Linked DNA regions of Daphnia pulex. The protein of the gene in region 2 interacts with the protein of the main gene of each other region in a pairwise test. Links are inferred from orthologs where the notes say so. Each region holds a gene or a part of one and is shown on either strand. Other genes may lie near its edges. The genes, in order: protein numb-like and atypical protein kinase C-like.

What was found.
Region 1: the proteins of atypical protein kinase C-like (region 2) and protein numb-like interact in binary tests that used the Caenorhabditis elegans proteins (3 or more experiments, as listed by UniProt). The link is inferred for Daphnia pulex from reciprocal best matches to the Caenorhabditis elegans genes pkc-3 and num-1.

What each region holds. Positions count from the first base shown.
Region 1 is NC_060020.1:5,121,098-5,128,615, forward strand, and holds the start of protein numb-like, read right to left. Parts: upstream 4,040-7,518; 5' UTR 3,007-4,039; coding exon 2,917-3,006; intron 2,185-2,916; coding exon 2,008-2,184; intron 1,885-2,007; coding exon 1,813-1,884; intron 1,738-1,812; coding exon 1,660-1,737; intron 1,587-1,659; coding exon 1,446-1,586; intron 1,261-1,445; coding exon 1,071-1,260; intron 990-1,070; coding exon 750-989; intron 566-749; coding exon 497-565; intron 341-496; coding exon 207-340; intron 132-206; coding exon 1-131. Other genes in the region: splicing factor 3B subunit 2-like, read left to right, coding at 5,461-5,701, 5,789-6,435, 6,498-6,841, 6,912-7,116, 7,187-7,437, 7,513-7,518. UniProt on the Caenorhabditis elegans protein: Involved in the tethering and targeting of pkc-3 to modulate the intracellular distribution of the kinase.
Region 2 is NC_060022.1:4,024,990-4,032,503, reverse strand, and holds atypical protein kinase C-like, read right to left. Parts: upstream 4,522-7,514; 5' UTR 4,274-4,521; coding exon 4,203-4,273; intron 4,142-4,202; coding exon 4,020-4,141; intron 3,962-4,019; coding exon 3,872-3,961; intron 3,812-3,871; coding exon 3,675-3,811; intron 3,613-3,674; coding exon 3,240-3,612; intron 3,180-3,239; coding exon 3,007-3,179; intron 2,942-3,006; coding exon 2,526-2,941; intron 2,438-2,525; coding exon 2,319-2,437; intron 2,134-2,318; coding exon 1,964-2,133; intron 1,886-1,963; coding exon 1,770-1,885; intron 1,701-1,769; coding exon 1,613-1,700; 3' UTR 1,136-1,612; downstream 1-1,135. Other genes in the region: F-actin-capping protein subunit beta-like, read left to right, coding at 4,870-4,872, 4,995-5,206, 5,270-5,642, 5,716-5,955; eukaryotic translation initiation factor 5A, read right to left, coding at 6,533-6,604, 6,688-6,822, 6,883-7,050, 7,115-7,222.

The DNA.
Region 1 (7,518 bases), on a different chromosome or scaffold from region 2:
GGCAGCGAGCTCGGTCCTTGGGACGCCACGCTGGCCGTTAAACTGCCCAGCCACTGTTCCCCTCGTGACATTGGATTGTTCACCGACGCTTCCTTATTGTTCACCTGGAATCCGTTAGTGGGTGGGACCATCTATTTGAAAAATATAAAGTCCAAATTAGCCTCTATTAACATTAATCTAAAAACAAATGAAAAATAAAACTTTACGTTGACTTTGTTGTCCACCAGGAAGGGATCATCAGTAGACGATAAGAGTGACAATCCTTGGGATAGCTGCTGACACATGGCGCTAACTGCGTTGGAACGTTCTACCATAGGCGAAGTTTCCGGAATCGGAGTCACTTTAATAGCAAATCCATGAAAACAATTAATTAAAAATTGTCTCTGATCGGTTAACTGAAAAGTCTTTGACATGTCACTCAAATTGGTGGTCCAATCAAAATTTCCAAGCGGGAAATGGAAAAGCAACAAAACAAAAAAGTAATGCATTCACTCACTAGATGAGTCTTGGCTAGGAGATGGCTGCATACGGTGACGACTGACTCGAGGAGGAGGCTGAGGACTTTCTGTACGGTGGACGAATGGGATCGAAGCATGCATCAGACACATTGCAATAGAGAAGAAAAAAAACACCATCAACACCCACGAACAAACAAAAAAAGGATCGTCTACGGTACTGGAACAAGGACGGTAAAAAGCCGCAATGGGGAGACGAATGAGCCAGACGAAAAATAACGAAGAAATGTTTACCAGGCGTGACGATCAGGTTGGACTTGTAGCTGGGTGCTTCATTGCTCAACGAGTTTTGTTGGCGTTCGACGGTCGAGGGTAAATCTCCGATTCGAAGCGACATCTGACGTTTGAAAGGTGAACTCTGATTGAGCTGGGAGAGCCCACGAAATGAGCCTTGTCGCTCGAGCAGGTGCGGAGCAGCGTGGGGACGTTCAATGGCGAACGGATTGACCACTGCCTTGGCCGGCGCCGGTGGTTCTAGAATTTCCCACAATGAGCAATCAACACGTGAGATGCATGAGTCACTTTTGGGCTCAAGAAATAGATGTGAGGTATTACCGGCCGGTCTGTATTCCTGCGGATCTTGAATGCGTTCCGTCAAGGGCGCTGCTCTAAAACTGCCCGAGCGCGTGAATGTAGAGTTGGAGGTGTCGAAATTCATCGTCACGCTGCACTCCTTATCTCGTTTTTGTTTCCGTTCCAAGCAAACGGCAAAAGCGCAACCCACTGCATGACTCAACCGCTCTCCCTGAAAAAAGAAAAAAACCAGGGCATCAACAATAGTATTAATAACCAGCGTAAGTCAAAGGAGGAAATAAGACCGGAAACCGTCAATCCATTATCATTGACGATGGCCACTTTCATTATTGGGGTAATCAAGCTTGTCTCTCTCTCTCTCTGTTGGATTGACAGCAATTCATTTACGATCCTCACCGAGTCTTTGCTGGCCAAGAATCCGTGGCACATCCAACGACGCGTAGTACCATCACGACAGATGTACGAGAATCCTTTTTCGTGATTACGATCCGGAGCACAAAAGGAGACTTTCTCAATCGTCTGGTCGACAATCAATCCCTGTGATTCACGATGCAATAGAGAGAAAAGTGAGTCTAAGATGTCGGTGACGAAATCAACGGAAATTTCATACTTTGGTGTCTTCTTCGACAACTCGTAATCCATCGCCGGAAATGTGCAGAACGCCTTTTACTGGTCGACGTCTAGAATTCTGTTTTGGGAATGAATAAATAAATAAATGTGGAATATTTTGTCATCATCGTTTCAATGGAAATGAATATTTTACCCTGAGCACTTTGAGTGCTTCCTCGCAAACAGGCATACCACGTGACTCGTACACTTCCACGCATCCCAGATACTGGAAAAAATAAAAATTCAAAAAGGTGAGCGAATCGCAAATAAATAGAACCACGTGGATTCCTGCCAAACGTCAACAACAAAAATATACGTCCTGCACAATGTATATAACGTGCTCACGAACCTTGACGTAAAAATTGCAAGTTCCAGCTCGAACGGCAGCCTCGTCCGACTGCCATTGGTGCGGTTTTGAACTCTCGGGGACGTGGTCTTTGCGGCGACGGAAACTTTCGCGGAAGCTTCTCCGCAATCGCTCCATCCTCTTATGGCGTCCGCTCTCCTTGGTCTCGCTCTTCTCAGCCTGCAATAAGAAAAACCGAAGCAAAATATTAGAGACGCCGCGATCTGCAATGGTGTCGGGTCCAACCCGAATTCCGGCCATTCCAGCCGTTTCATGGAGAAATTAACGTTGCAACATAACGGCAAATTCGTTCAGTTAGCGCAACTATCCCGTTACGCTTTCGCAAACGCACGCAATGAATCATGCCCTGAAGAGTACGGTACCTCGGTGGAATAATAAAAAATTAACGAAAGAAACGAGAACCCACACGCCCCGAATATTATCGATTGTTTCTCAAGCGCGGGCACGTCGAGACGGCGCGCCATTGCCAAGAGAGATATTCTTTCGACCGAATCTTGATTATTACCCAAAGAATAAACAGCAACTTGTGAGATAATAAAAGAATAGGGCATCTCCGTTCGGGAAACGACAGACACACACACACACGTGAAAAAGAAAAACATGGCAAGATCAAAGAGGAGGAGCTGGAGCCTCAGAGGAAAGGGGGGCGTGACGTCGCTTCACACGTCAGCTAACGCCAGAGGGCAACAGGTCATCGCTACGCCCCAGGTAAGACGCAACGTGTTACACGCTCCGAGACCCAACCTAGCCCACATTCCAATCTTTTTTAACCTTTTGCTTCCTCAACTAAAATTACCCGATACATTCTTAGAAAGTTTCCTTGATTCGACCAAATCGAGTTGGCCACGGTCAAATGTTAAGCAGGAATTAAAATATAAGAGACCCGATCACCTTGTCGATTTCATTGGCCACCGGAGCGATCGGATGGGTTACGGCCGATTCGAGCGGATCGTGCGGAAGAGCAGAATGGGCGTTGCCCATGTTTTGGTTTTTTTTTAAATTAAGATTTGGTGGTGCAATGTGTGCAAAATAAAATGTAAAAGAGTTTTTTGTTGGATATTTTGTAGATGAACGAAAAACTAGATGTGCATCAAGATCCGTGCGAATTAAATTCGTGCGTCGTCACACGGCCGGTTTCCATTACGCCGGCACCGGCGACCCGTAAAGTCAGAAAATAAGAGATATCCGCCCAGTTGCCATTCCGGTAAAACAGAAAGACGAGCAAATATTTCCGTCTTATTTCTTTGGGTTGCACAAACGATTCCGCACGTGCAAACACACGTCACACACAGTAGTCACAATCTAGTTCACTCTTAAAAAAGATCACACTCGGCCGTAAAACACAGAAACGAAATGGCGTAAAACGGACGCAAAACGTCTGTCCAGTTGAATCACGTCGGGAGGGAAATCGATGAGAACGACCGCGAAGCTGCTGGAGGAGCAGACTATAACAACAAGCGAACGTTCCCCAGCAAGGCGGACCATCAAAATGGCGCCCGTGACGTGAGAAACCCAAGCAAACTACTGCCAAAGAGTGGAATGTAGTCCCGACCAGGTATATAGACGCATGCGACCGTGGTTGGCTCCCTTCGTGTTGCCATAGGTATGTAACATGAGGCTTTGGCCTTCATGCTTGTTCAGCTCGAGGCCATCTTTGAACTCCCTCCTTCTTTTCTGTCTTTTCTTCTACCTTTTTACTGACTTATTTCTCTCTTCTTTCCAGCTAGACAAAAAAGGTAGCAGCCGATTCCTACAGTCTCGGGGTTAGCATCGAAAATAATAATAACAAGAGATGGGCTTCATCGAAATTGTTTTTTCCCGATGATGGCATCTATGGTGACGGATCACATCTCGTACGGGGGTTATTGCATACATGAATATGAATGGACCCGCAACAGAGGAGGTGAACGAACCACATGAGAGAGCCCTACGTCGTTGAAGGACACTTTGCTTTTATCAGTTAGTCCTGTGATACGTCCGGCAAACATCAACGTGATGTGGCCATCACTTTCTCTTTCATGTCATAGAAACCAACACGATATCAATGCAGGGCAAGGTAGATTACGTTCATGATTTACCTTTGTTCAAAGCCAGCCAAGGGTCGAATCAATAAATGAAGTTACCTCGTCTGCAAATGATATATCGATAAGCATGTCAGCAGACGGTTAGAGGACAAGGGTTGCTTAATAATCTACTGATAATAAATATACTACTACTAGCTGCAGCACACACACACACAATCTTCAAAGTGGGAAAAGCAACCAAATTGGTTAGTTTCTTGGCCTTGCGGTTGCACTGACCCTGGATCAACAATGCCCTATGGCGAAAAAGGCCGACTCTTTCACTCATCGTCAAAAAAAAGAAAAAATAAAACCGTAAACGTATATGAGAGACAAGGAGAGAAAAAGAAACGGTAATGGCTTCGTGGAAAGAATGTCAACGTGTATACGTAATGGCGTGAGAGTCTGAGAGAGACCTAGTGAAGTTGCTACACGGCCTGTGTGATGAAAGTCTCTTATCGATCCGGCTCACAGGCACATCTCACATCAGGGTTGTTGATAATGAAACTGATTTCTCTTTTAGCTTCTACCAACGTTTGATCGGTTCACCGACACCAAAAAATCTCAAGAGGGGTGAAATGGCCACACGCAACGTTTCTCATCAGATTTTACGAAAATGTGATTGTCGATGAGAATTTTCCCATCGAAAAACGATAATATCAAATAGGCTGGAAAAAACAATCTACAAAAGGTATGTACAAACGTAAAGGGGAGAGAACAAATGCCGTCGGTTTCACTTGATGCTGTAGACCTCTGGGCAGAGAGAAAACCAACCAAGACTGCCTTGAATGAGAAACTGAAAACAAGCCCCGACGAAAAGCCTGTCAACACACACCAAAACAGAATCGGCCAAACTTACCGGCCTCGCGATGAACTGGACGATCTCAATGAAAACAATACGTTCACAAACTAACTAATCACACCACTCCCACCGCTTTAGCAATACTCTCAGAGCACTTCGGTTTAAGAAACCGTTTTGACTGCAACTGCATCTCTCTCAGTGTGCCACCACAAAAAAAAATCATTTAAGATTCATCAGACTGCCATCTGGTGTTGATAGTGTGCACAAGCCTTTATTAAAAATTTAGGGCGCGTCGTGAACGCCATCTGCTGGTTTTCTGTGGTACCTCAATGAATATACGATTTGATCATGGCTTTTAGATTCGGCTTCATTTGGTCGTCGTTTACTCGCTTCACCCGTTTGGTTCTCTAACAAACTTGTTTTGCTATCGTGTTTCTTTCAAGGCAGTTTTAAATTAACGTAAAACTTCATCGTGTTTTACTTGGACGCGTCTATTTTGTCTATTGATTTGAAACACCCTTTTGATTGTGTGATTATTCTTTAGAAACAGAAAGTTATTTAGTTGAATTTGACATGGATCATCACATGCCGCCCGGCTACGGCCAGGAGAATTACATGTATGGAGATCCTTCAAGGTCCTTCCAGGGTAATGCTGTCGGTATGTATGGATCAGGTGCTAGACCGATGTCACCTCCTCCAGGTGATGAAGACATTCCCGCCCATGAACATCTCCCATCAGCACTTGAAGAAGTCCTTGCTTACAAAGAATACCGAGTACGAGAAACGGGCCACTCTGGAGAGGTTGATAACATTAGTGAGTAACACTTTTATAAATTTTCTAGTCTTCATGAAAGGTTTCGCTTGCAGGAATGAACTTTATTCTTTTCTATTTTTTTTTTAGTTAATGAAATCCCTGTCAAAACAGTTATAGAAACTGAAGGAACTATTGAAGAGAGGAAAGATGATTTCGGTGGGGAAGAAAACCTTGAAGAAAAAACTAAAACTCAAAGAAATCAAAAGAAGAAAAAGAAGAAGAAGCGCACTAAGAGACATCAACAGAAAGAAGAAGAAGAAGAAAATGAAAGGAATGATGATGCTGAAGAACCTCCACAAGTGGATATTGAGTATGTCCAGGAAGAAATCATTTATGACGACAAAAATCCTTTCTACCGACAGTTTGCCAAAATCTTCGAAGCATTTAAAATCATTGATGAAAAAACTGCAAAGAAAGCTGAAGAAGATGAAGCCAAAAAGAAAGAACTTCAAAGAAGTTTAGAACTTAAGAAGGTCCCCAAGTTTGCAGAAGAGGAAGATTTGGAGGAGAAAAAGGAAAATGCTGATGATGACAAGCCAAAAGTTTCAAAAAGAAAACTAAAACAACTTACTCGACTAAGTGTGGCCGATTTGAAGCAATGTGTTGCCAGACCAGACGTCGTAGAGATGCACGACGTTACTGCTAGAGACCCCAAACTGTTAGTTCTTTTGAAAGCAACCAGAAATTCGGTCCCAGTTCCTCGACATTGGTGTGCGAAGCGCAAGTACTTACAGGTATATTTTACTATGCACAAAGGGTAAACAATTCGTTTTAAACAAATTTTTTTGTACTTTAGGGAAAACGTGGAATAGAAAAGCCTCCTTTCAATTTGCCCGATTTCATCAAAAAGACCGGAATCATGGAAATGCGAGCTGCTTTGCAGGAAAAGGAAGAGTCAAAAACACTTAAAGCTAAAATGCGTGAGCGTGTTCGACCCAAGATGGGGCGTGTTGATATCGACTATCAAAAGTTGCATGACGCTTTCTTCAAATGGCAAACCAAACCCAAGATGACGATTATGGGTGATTTATACTATGAAGGAAAAGAATTTGAAACTCGAATGAAAGACAAAAAACCCGGAGAGTTGTCTGACGAACTGCGAACTGCTCTCGGAATGCCTGTTGGTCCTAGTTCAAACAAGTAAGAATCTATTCTTAATTTGACACCGTTTTGTGTTACAGTAGTTAATGTTAATGGCGTTTTCTTTAAGAATTCCTCCTCCTTGGTTGATTGCCATGCAAAGATATGGTCCACCACCGTCTTACCCTAACTTGAAGATTCCAGGATTGAACGCTCCAATTCCTGATGGTTCTTCCTTTGGCTACCATGCCGGAGGTTGGGGAAAACCTCCTGTCGATGAATTCGGGCGGCCTCTGTACGGCGATGTTTTTGGATTGACTGGAATCGCAGGCGATGTAAGAAAATATCTCATACTCTGTGTATAACAAATTCTATTAACCACGAATACTTTTGCCTCTTTTTCAGACAATTTTACTCGACGAAGAAGTTGATCGTACCTTGTGGGGTGAACTTGAATCGGAAGAAGAGGAGGAGGAAGTTGAGGAGAGTGAAGAGGAAGAAGGAGAGGACGAAGAAGGCGCCATTGATCAATCAGGTCTGGTTACTCCTGCAGAAGGACTTGCTACTCCTTCGGGATTCTCATCTGTACCTGCTGGTCTGGAAACACCAGATATGATTGAGCTACGAAAGAAAAAGATTGAAGCAGAGATGGAGAGGTATGTAACCAGTGTCAACTACTATACAACTGCTACTTTACATTTTTAATTATTCCTATTTTCACTCTTATTTAGTAACGA
Region 2 (7,514 bases):
GAATTCCTCGCGTTCGGGAGAAAAGAAAAAAACATGGCGCCGATTGGATTTTCAGTGTGTGTGTGTGTGTGTACCCCCTCCACGTGCTACCAAAACATGAATTTATGTGTCCTTTTTTTTCTTTTCTCTCCGACTGAATTCTTGACTAACATCGTGGAAATACGAGTCAAATAAACATGTGGCAGCCAAATGGATGCCAAGTTATCACGAAAGCGTCTGTCGTAGGTTTATACCTACATTTTTAAAATGCAGCAGCATTTTTATTATTTACAAGTACGCTTAATACGACCTTTAAGTAGCCGGAGGCCATTTTGGCACCCAAGGTCTACGTGTGTTAAGAAAAAAGAGCCCGAGACGTAACAAATGTAACGGTATAACTTTTTGGGTTGTGTCGCTCCGCCTGCAACCACAAAAATGAAAAAAAAAACGAAACTCGACTAAAACTTGATTGTGTGTGTGAAATCTTGATTACGAAAATTTGTCTAATCTAAAAGATATCCTTCTTAAACAAAACAAGGATATAAACCTGATTTTGTTTTTATTAAGGGGGGGAGAGAGAGGGGCTGATTCTTTTATAAATATTTCCATAAAAGAACCTTTTTCATCGAAATTAAAAGAATGCGCAATGGGAAAAAAAGGATAAGAAAACACCATAGGGTGAGGGACATTTTCCGCGGCCCCGAAAGAATAAAAATAGAGAGCGTAAAATGTTTTCTGGGGTTTTCTTTATTCCTTTACACACACACACAAGACGAGTTTGTGTGTGTGTATCTCTTTAAATGTATAGGGGAATCCAACCGCAAAACGGTCGATGTTCGTTTCTTTCTAGAAAAGAAATGTCCGACAACGACTTCCTCCTACACGCTTTTTTTTTCTTTCCTTTCTTCGTTCGAAAAATTTCAACCAATAAACGAGTGGTTTCGTGCGTGATAAAAACTACTTTTCTCTCATCGATATTTAGTAATAAACCCCTTTTTCCTCTGCATTACATCGTTTAGCATAAAGACAACCAACGATTGTGCTAACGGCACGTCGTACCGTAGAAATGCCTTTCCCATCGAACAACAACAGGTTTCACCAATTATAATATTAAAAGGCCACCACCATTTCTTGACTGTGGATGCCATCTAGCTGATTGTGTCGACATCTTTCTTGTATATTTCTAACAAGACGGAAAAAGGCGATCTGTGTAAGGCGGAAATATAATAATTAACCAGACAGAGATTTTCTTTTTGGCTAAAAGTGACCAAAACAAAATGGCTTTTAAAAGTGACACAAAAAGAAAAGAAGACAAAAGAGATGAAGGCAGTTGTACAACAGATCGAAAAGGTGACGGAGGGAAAGAAAGATGTTCCAATGAGGCAAGAACTGGAATGGACGCAAAGTCGATTAAGACTTGATCTATCATATTTAAAAATACTGGACCGAATAAACTGATGGTGAAAAGGGGAGGGGGAAAAAAACGAAAGAGAAGAAATGGTAGGCTGTTAGAATTTTTGCTGCCGTGAAACCTGCCAAACTTTCCCTATGAAACATGTGTGTGTGTGGTTCCAATTTTTAGTGTAAATCTTATAATGGCATGAAAGCGAATGCTTCGTTTTCTATTCTAATCCTAGACGCAGTCTTCCAATGACATGAGCAAAGGATTGACGTACTCGAAACCTTCAAACTCAGACTGATCGATGCGTTCAATGACCGTCCTGCAAAGCAACAAAAAATAAAACAAAAATAAAAATCGATTCTTAATCGACAGACGATCCATCACTTACTGATCGTCGGGTGTCAGTTGGACTGGTTCGTCTGTGAACTCGGGTGGAAAGTGAGCCAGATCACGGTCGGAATCTAGACGAGGCACGTAAGGTGGAGCCACTTGTTTCTTCTCCAACTGTGCACGTATGAAAAAAGATTAGTAATCTGTTCCTAGAATGTGGATTAAACGTGTAAAAGAGAGAGATGTTCATACCATTTCCCAGTCGACTGATTTAAAGAATGGATGATGGACGATATCGACAAAGCCCGTTTCTTTTCGACAACCCAAACGATCAGCTGGATTCTTATTAAGAAACCCTTTGAGGACAGAAGAAGCCTTCACAGATAACGACCTGGGAATGCGAATCGTCTTTTCCAGGATGACTGCAATATGAAAAGAAAAGAAAAAACACACAATGTTTTACAAACAACACATTTACAATCCTCTCAAGTGGAAAAAGGTCACGCGATCTTGATAAGACCCCGTTTTTCTTGCGAACTTTATCAAATGGACTCGCGAGTTTCCACAAAGCAAATATTATAATAAAGAAGACAAGATGAAGCTCTACCGTGAAACAGATAATCTTCAGTGTTTTGGTCAGGATTCTCTGAAGCGCCGACGATGTCGAAAGGTGAACGACCGGCCAACATTTCATACAACAATACACCCAGCGCCCACCAATCCACACTGATAAAAACGAAGAAAAAGGTTAGACATTTTCGCTACAGGGGAGTTAGCGTTCCAGATTCTATTGGGTTTAATTTGTAAACATTACCTGAAACTGTAGTCTTCTCCGCGCAGAATTTCAGGAGCGATATAGTTGGGCGTACCACAAAAGGTAGACGTGGTATCACCCGGACGGATGCCCTCTTTGCACATTCCGTAGTCGGTGAGTTTGATATGACCTTCATGGTCCAGTAGGACGTTATCTAGCTTCAGATCACGGTAAATAATTCCTTTCTCGTGTAGGAAATTGAGCGCCAAAGAAATTTCAGCCGAATAGAATCGAGCGTGCTCCTCAGGAAGTCGCCTTTGGCGCTGCATGTGGAACATTAAATCACCACCACGTACGAATTCGATGACAAAGAAAAGGCGTGACGTCGTCTGGAAACACGAATGCAAGCCAACCAAGAAAGGATGGTTGGATGCCGTCTCAAAGACATGTTTTTCCGTTTGAACCCAGTCAATATCCTGAAAGTCGAGTTGTTCAATTAGAAGAAGTTGTTGATAAAATCAAAGAATCAATTTTCTTATACCTCATCATCGGTAACAAGTTCCTTTTTGATTACTTTCATGGCGTAAACCCGACGAGTTCGTCGTAATTCAACCATCAACACTTTAGCATAAGAACCACGACCAATCACACGAATCAATTCAAAATCCGCCATCGAATACGGACGTTGAACAGCACCACCTTCGACACCTTCTTCTAATATTTTAAAGTATACAATTAAAAATCTGAATTGTTTTGTATGGAAATATAAAGTACCTGGACTTCCATCAACCGGAACACTCACACTGTGAGACTCAAAAATAGGTTGTACTATTGGCGGTGCGGACGGTGCTTCGGTACCATCACCATTCTGTCGCAGCGCTGTCGGGGGTTCTCCGGCATTAACAACAGGGCTTATAGATGGAATAGCAGCAGCGGTCACTGCGGACCCTGAACTGGTATTGAGCGCGCTATTTGACAGTAGATGAACCTGGGATGGAGTGTTCAGAGCGGCCACTTGCTCCGTGTTGCAACTGATCTTGATAAGCTTGTGGCACTTTTTGTGGATGAGCAGCTTGCACTGAATGCATTTGAATCCTTGCCGACCTAGACCCCAGATACGGTCGTGACAGTAAGCGCAAGAAGCTCTCTGTCATAAAAATGGAAAGTAAGGATTACTGGGAATCAATGGTGTTGCATGGATAAACTTACGCGATTGAAACGTTTTGCCTGGAAAAGATGTCCATTGACTCTGTACAGTTTCCGCCATCTACGAGCACCACGTCGATAAATACTTTTATCTTCTCCAAAACATGGAAGCCCTGGTGACACAGGGACACTAGGGAAAACTGAATTTTAAAAAGAGTAATTAAATTTCAAGTTTATACACAAGTAGAATTAAAAAATACCATGAATAGTGATTTCTGAATCGTTGTTCACTTCATACAGACGAATAGCTTCATCAATTTCAACTTGTGAAGAGATAGTACATGGATCACCTAAAGGGATGTAAATCATAGTAAAAGAAAACTGTGTGGATTGTATGTGTTGTACAACCTTCTTCGTCAATCCATTTCATGGTAAACTCTTGATCAGGAGAAAACTGGCAAATGGCTCGCATCTCATTTTGGAGATCATCCAACAGGATCTCAGAGTTTATGTAAGTCACGAGAATTTTCCTGCAAAATAACTAATGAGGTAAGTACATACAAAGATTGAAAAAAAAAACATGAAGTATACCCGCTGAAAGCTGCCTTGACTTTGATTTCGGCCTTTTCCCCATCACTCACGAGGGTGGTGGGCATCGTCATTTAAAACAACAGGTGGGTTGGGCACAAATTGGCCGTTTCCTCAAAATTACAAACAAGTCCTCACGGCAGCCGGACTATTGTAACCATTTGAGGCTATCACTGATTGTGAACCACGATTCCACTATAACTTCTTTAAACTTCTAACAGAAAACACTTTTAGTTTTAACCTAAAAATATGAGTCAGGCGGTTAATACTGGCAAAACTGACGTTTCGAGGATTAACCTTCTATGCAGCCGCCAGGAGGCGTTCTCCGAGATTGATCAAAACTTGATTGATTTTAAAGAAAAATCGTTTTTGTAATTGTTTTTTAAATATTCTCAGCTATTATTTAATGACCAACAACACTTCCGTCATTTAATATGTGGATTTATCTCGAATTCTAATTCGAATCCGCAACCGTTTTTTTATTTCCCAGCAGGCAGAGATTTTCATTGCTTAGCGCAACTTCGGATTCAGAACATACATTTCTGTTTGTCACCGCCACTCATTTTTCACCTCGCCCATTTTTTGGTTTTTCCTGGGAAAAAAGGCCGGAAATCCTTTTCAGTTCCATTTTATTATCTCAAAAGTTTGTCGTTTCTGTCCATTTTGAACAATGGTAAGTTAAAAATCGAATTTATTCATATTTTCGGCTAGTATTAAACCTCCAATTTCAGAGTGAAAATTTTATTTGACATTTGACTTGTCTAATAATATTTCTCTTGTTATTTGTTTCTGCAGACGGAGGAGCAATTGAACCGAGCGTTGGACTTAATGCGACGTCTCCCTCCTCAGCAAATTGAAAAAAACCTGAGTGACCTGATTGACCTAGTTCCTGAACTGTGTGAGGATCTTCTATCATCAGTGGATCAACCACTTAAAATTGCACGTGATAAGAGAGAAGGAAAAGATTATCTTCTCTGTGATTATAACCGTGATGGAGATTCTTATCGGTAACAGTATTTACAGTTGTGTTGAAAACTTGACCCTAATAATAACAAATGTTGATCTGTCAGTTCTCCATGGAGCAACACCTATGAACCACCTCTTGAAGATGGAACACTGCCCACGGACAGGCTACGTAGATTGGAAGTAGAGGCCAATGCTGCATTTGATCAATACCGTCAGATGTATTTTGAGGGTGGAGTCTCCTCTGTGTACCTATGGGACCTGGATCATGGATTTGCTGGAGTCATTCTTATAAAACGAGCTGGTGATGGCGCTCGAAATATTAAAGGGTGCTGGGATTCGATTCATGTCATTGAAGTGCAAGAAAAGTCTACCGGCCGTTCGGCTCACTATAAGCTTACGTCGACAGTCATGCTATGGCTGCAGACCAGTCGTCCCGGTTCCGGAACGATGAACCTTGGTGGAAGCTTAACGCGTCAGGTAATATTATTGTTTACTTTTATGACCATGAGATATTTCCCTTAAATTGAACCGATTTTTTCTCTCGTGTTAGATGGAGCAAGACGGAACAGTAAGCGAGCCTACGTCGCACATCGTAAACATGGGTCGTCTTGTCGAAGATATGGAGAACAAAATTAGGCACACTTTGAATGAAATTTACTTCGGTAAGACTAAGGATATTGTCAACGGGCTGCGTTCCATTCAGCCTTTGGCCGATCAAAAGCAAAAGCAGGCTTTCAGCGAAGATCTGGCTAATGCTTTGCAGAAAAGACAAGGAAAAAGCGATCCTTAACTGATACATAATATTATAAATTGCATTTTCCTATTATTTCCCTTATTCAACCAAGTTTTTCCCCTCCTGTAAAGTATAACATCCATTACCCAATCAAGTTGTTGCCCGTTTTGCTTCAATTCACATGTTGAGTGATTGGAAAATAAAAGTTTGAAGTAAAAATCGTTAAATTTAAGGCTCCATTATTTTTGAAGTGCTTGAAATTGGTTTATTGAACTCTTTCGTTTTGCTGCATGGGAAATGGGTATGAGTAAGGTTTAGGTTAAACAACTATCTTGCAATCAACTGCAGAATAGCGTAGTGTTCATTAACAAGTCTGTCTATTGACCCATTGGGTCGAACGGGGGAGGCAATAATAAACCAGAACAAGAGATGGACTTATCCAATGAAACGAGGCAACAAGGTCAAGATACCCATTTCTCCCCACGATTTACATCAATCGGTAGTAGGCAAAATTAAAAGAAAGAAAGTAGAATTTAAATCCAATATCCACAGCTGTTTCCCGTTTATTTTTTTGTGTTTCTCTCCATTTTTATTGGTAACCAGTTGGAAGTGAAACTTCACAAATTTGTGTGAATTACTTTTCGGCAGCTGTGTTGGCTTTAACGGCAATCACACACTCTTCGCCGCAGGCTTTCAAAACGGTACACTATAGAAGAAAAAACAGGTGATTATACATCCACTCTTAATATCAAATTGAACAATACATCGCATAGGGTAAAATTAGCTTACCAGAAGTTCGCGACCATTTTCGAAATCAGCCCTGATTTGGTTACCCAAGTCTCCTTCTGGAACCTTGAGATCTTCACGCAAATCTCCGTTGTCATTCATCATTGAAAGAAAGCCATCACCAGATATGTCAATGAGCTAAAACAAAAATTTTGTTAATTCCAAACTAACATAATCAAAGTTGTAATTTTATATTACAGTGAAATCCTCCCTCTTGACAACAGGGACATCCATGTTGTGGGTGGAAGGGCAAATATCTTCAAGTTTCTTGCCATTGAAAATGTCGATACCAACCATGTGAACCTTGGCGTGGCCATGTTTGCCAGTCTTGGATGTGGACATCTCAACAATCTTGCAAGGCCTTGCCTTCAAATGAAATTCACTTTAAGTACAATGAAGATTAAAATAATTTCTATTATTATATAATCACCTTCAACATGACGAAACCGTTCTTGCGAAGAGCAGAGCATTGCATGGGAAATGTTGCTGAAGCTCCAGAATCCCCTGACTCGAACTGAGTGTCTTCAAGCTCTGCCATGTTGTACAAGTTCAGGGGAATGGATATATAGAATCACTGTGACAAAAAGAAAGTGATTAGAAACATTCACATCAATGGGGTAGCGATTTCAGTACTATCTTCTATATTGATCACTGCCGCAGCAGCTGACTACTATAGTTATTACAACGGCGTTAAGTTTAATTTGACAACAGTACTAAATACCCAAAGAAATATAACTGAAAAAAAGGAATAAGGATATGGAATCCAATTACATGAGAACACTACTGTAGGCTAATGAATATGCAACAATAATATGTGGAAAAGGCCGGTT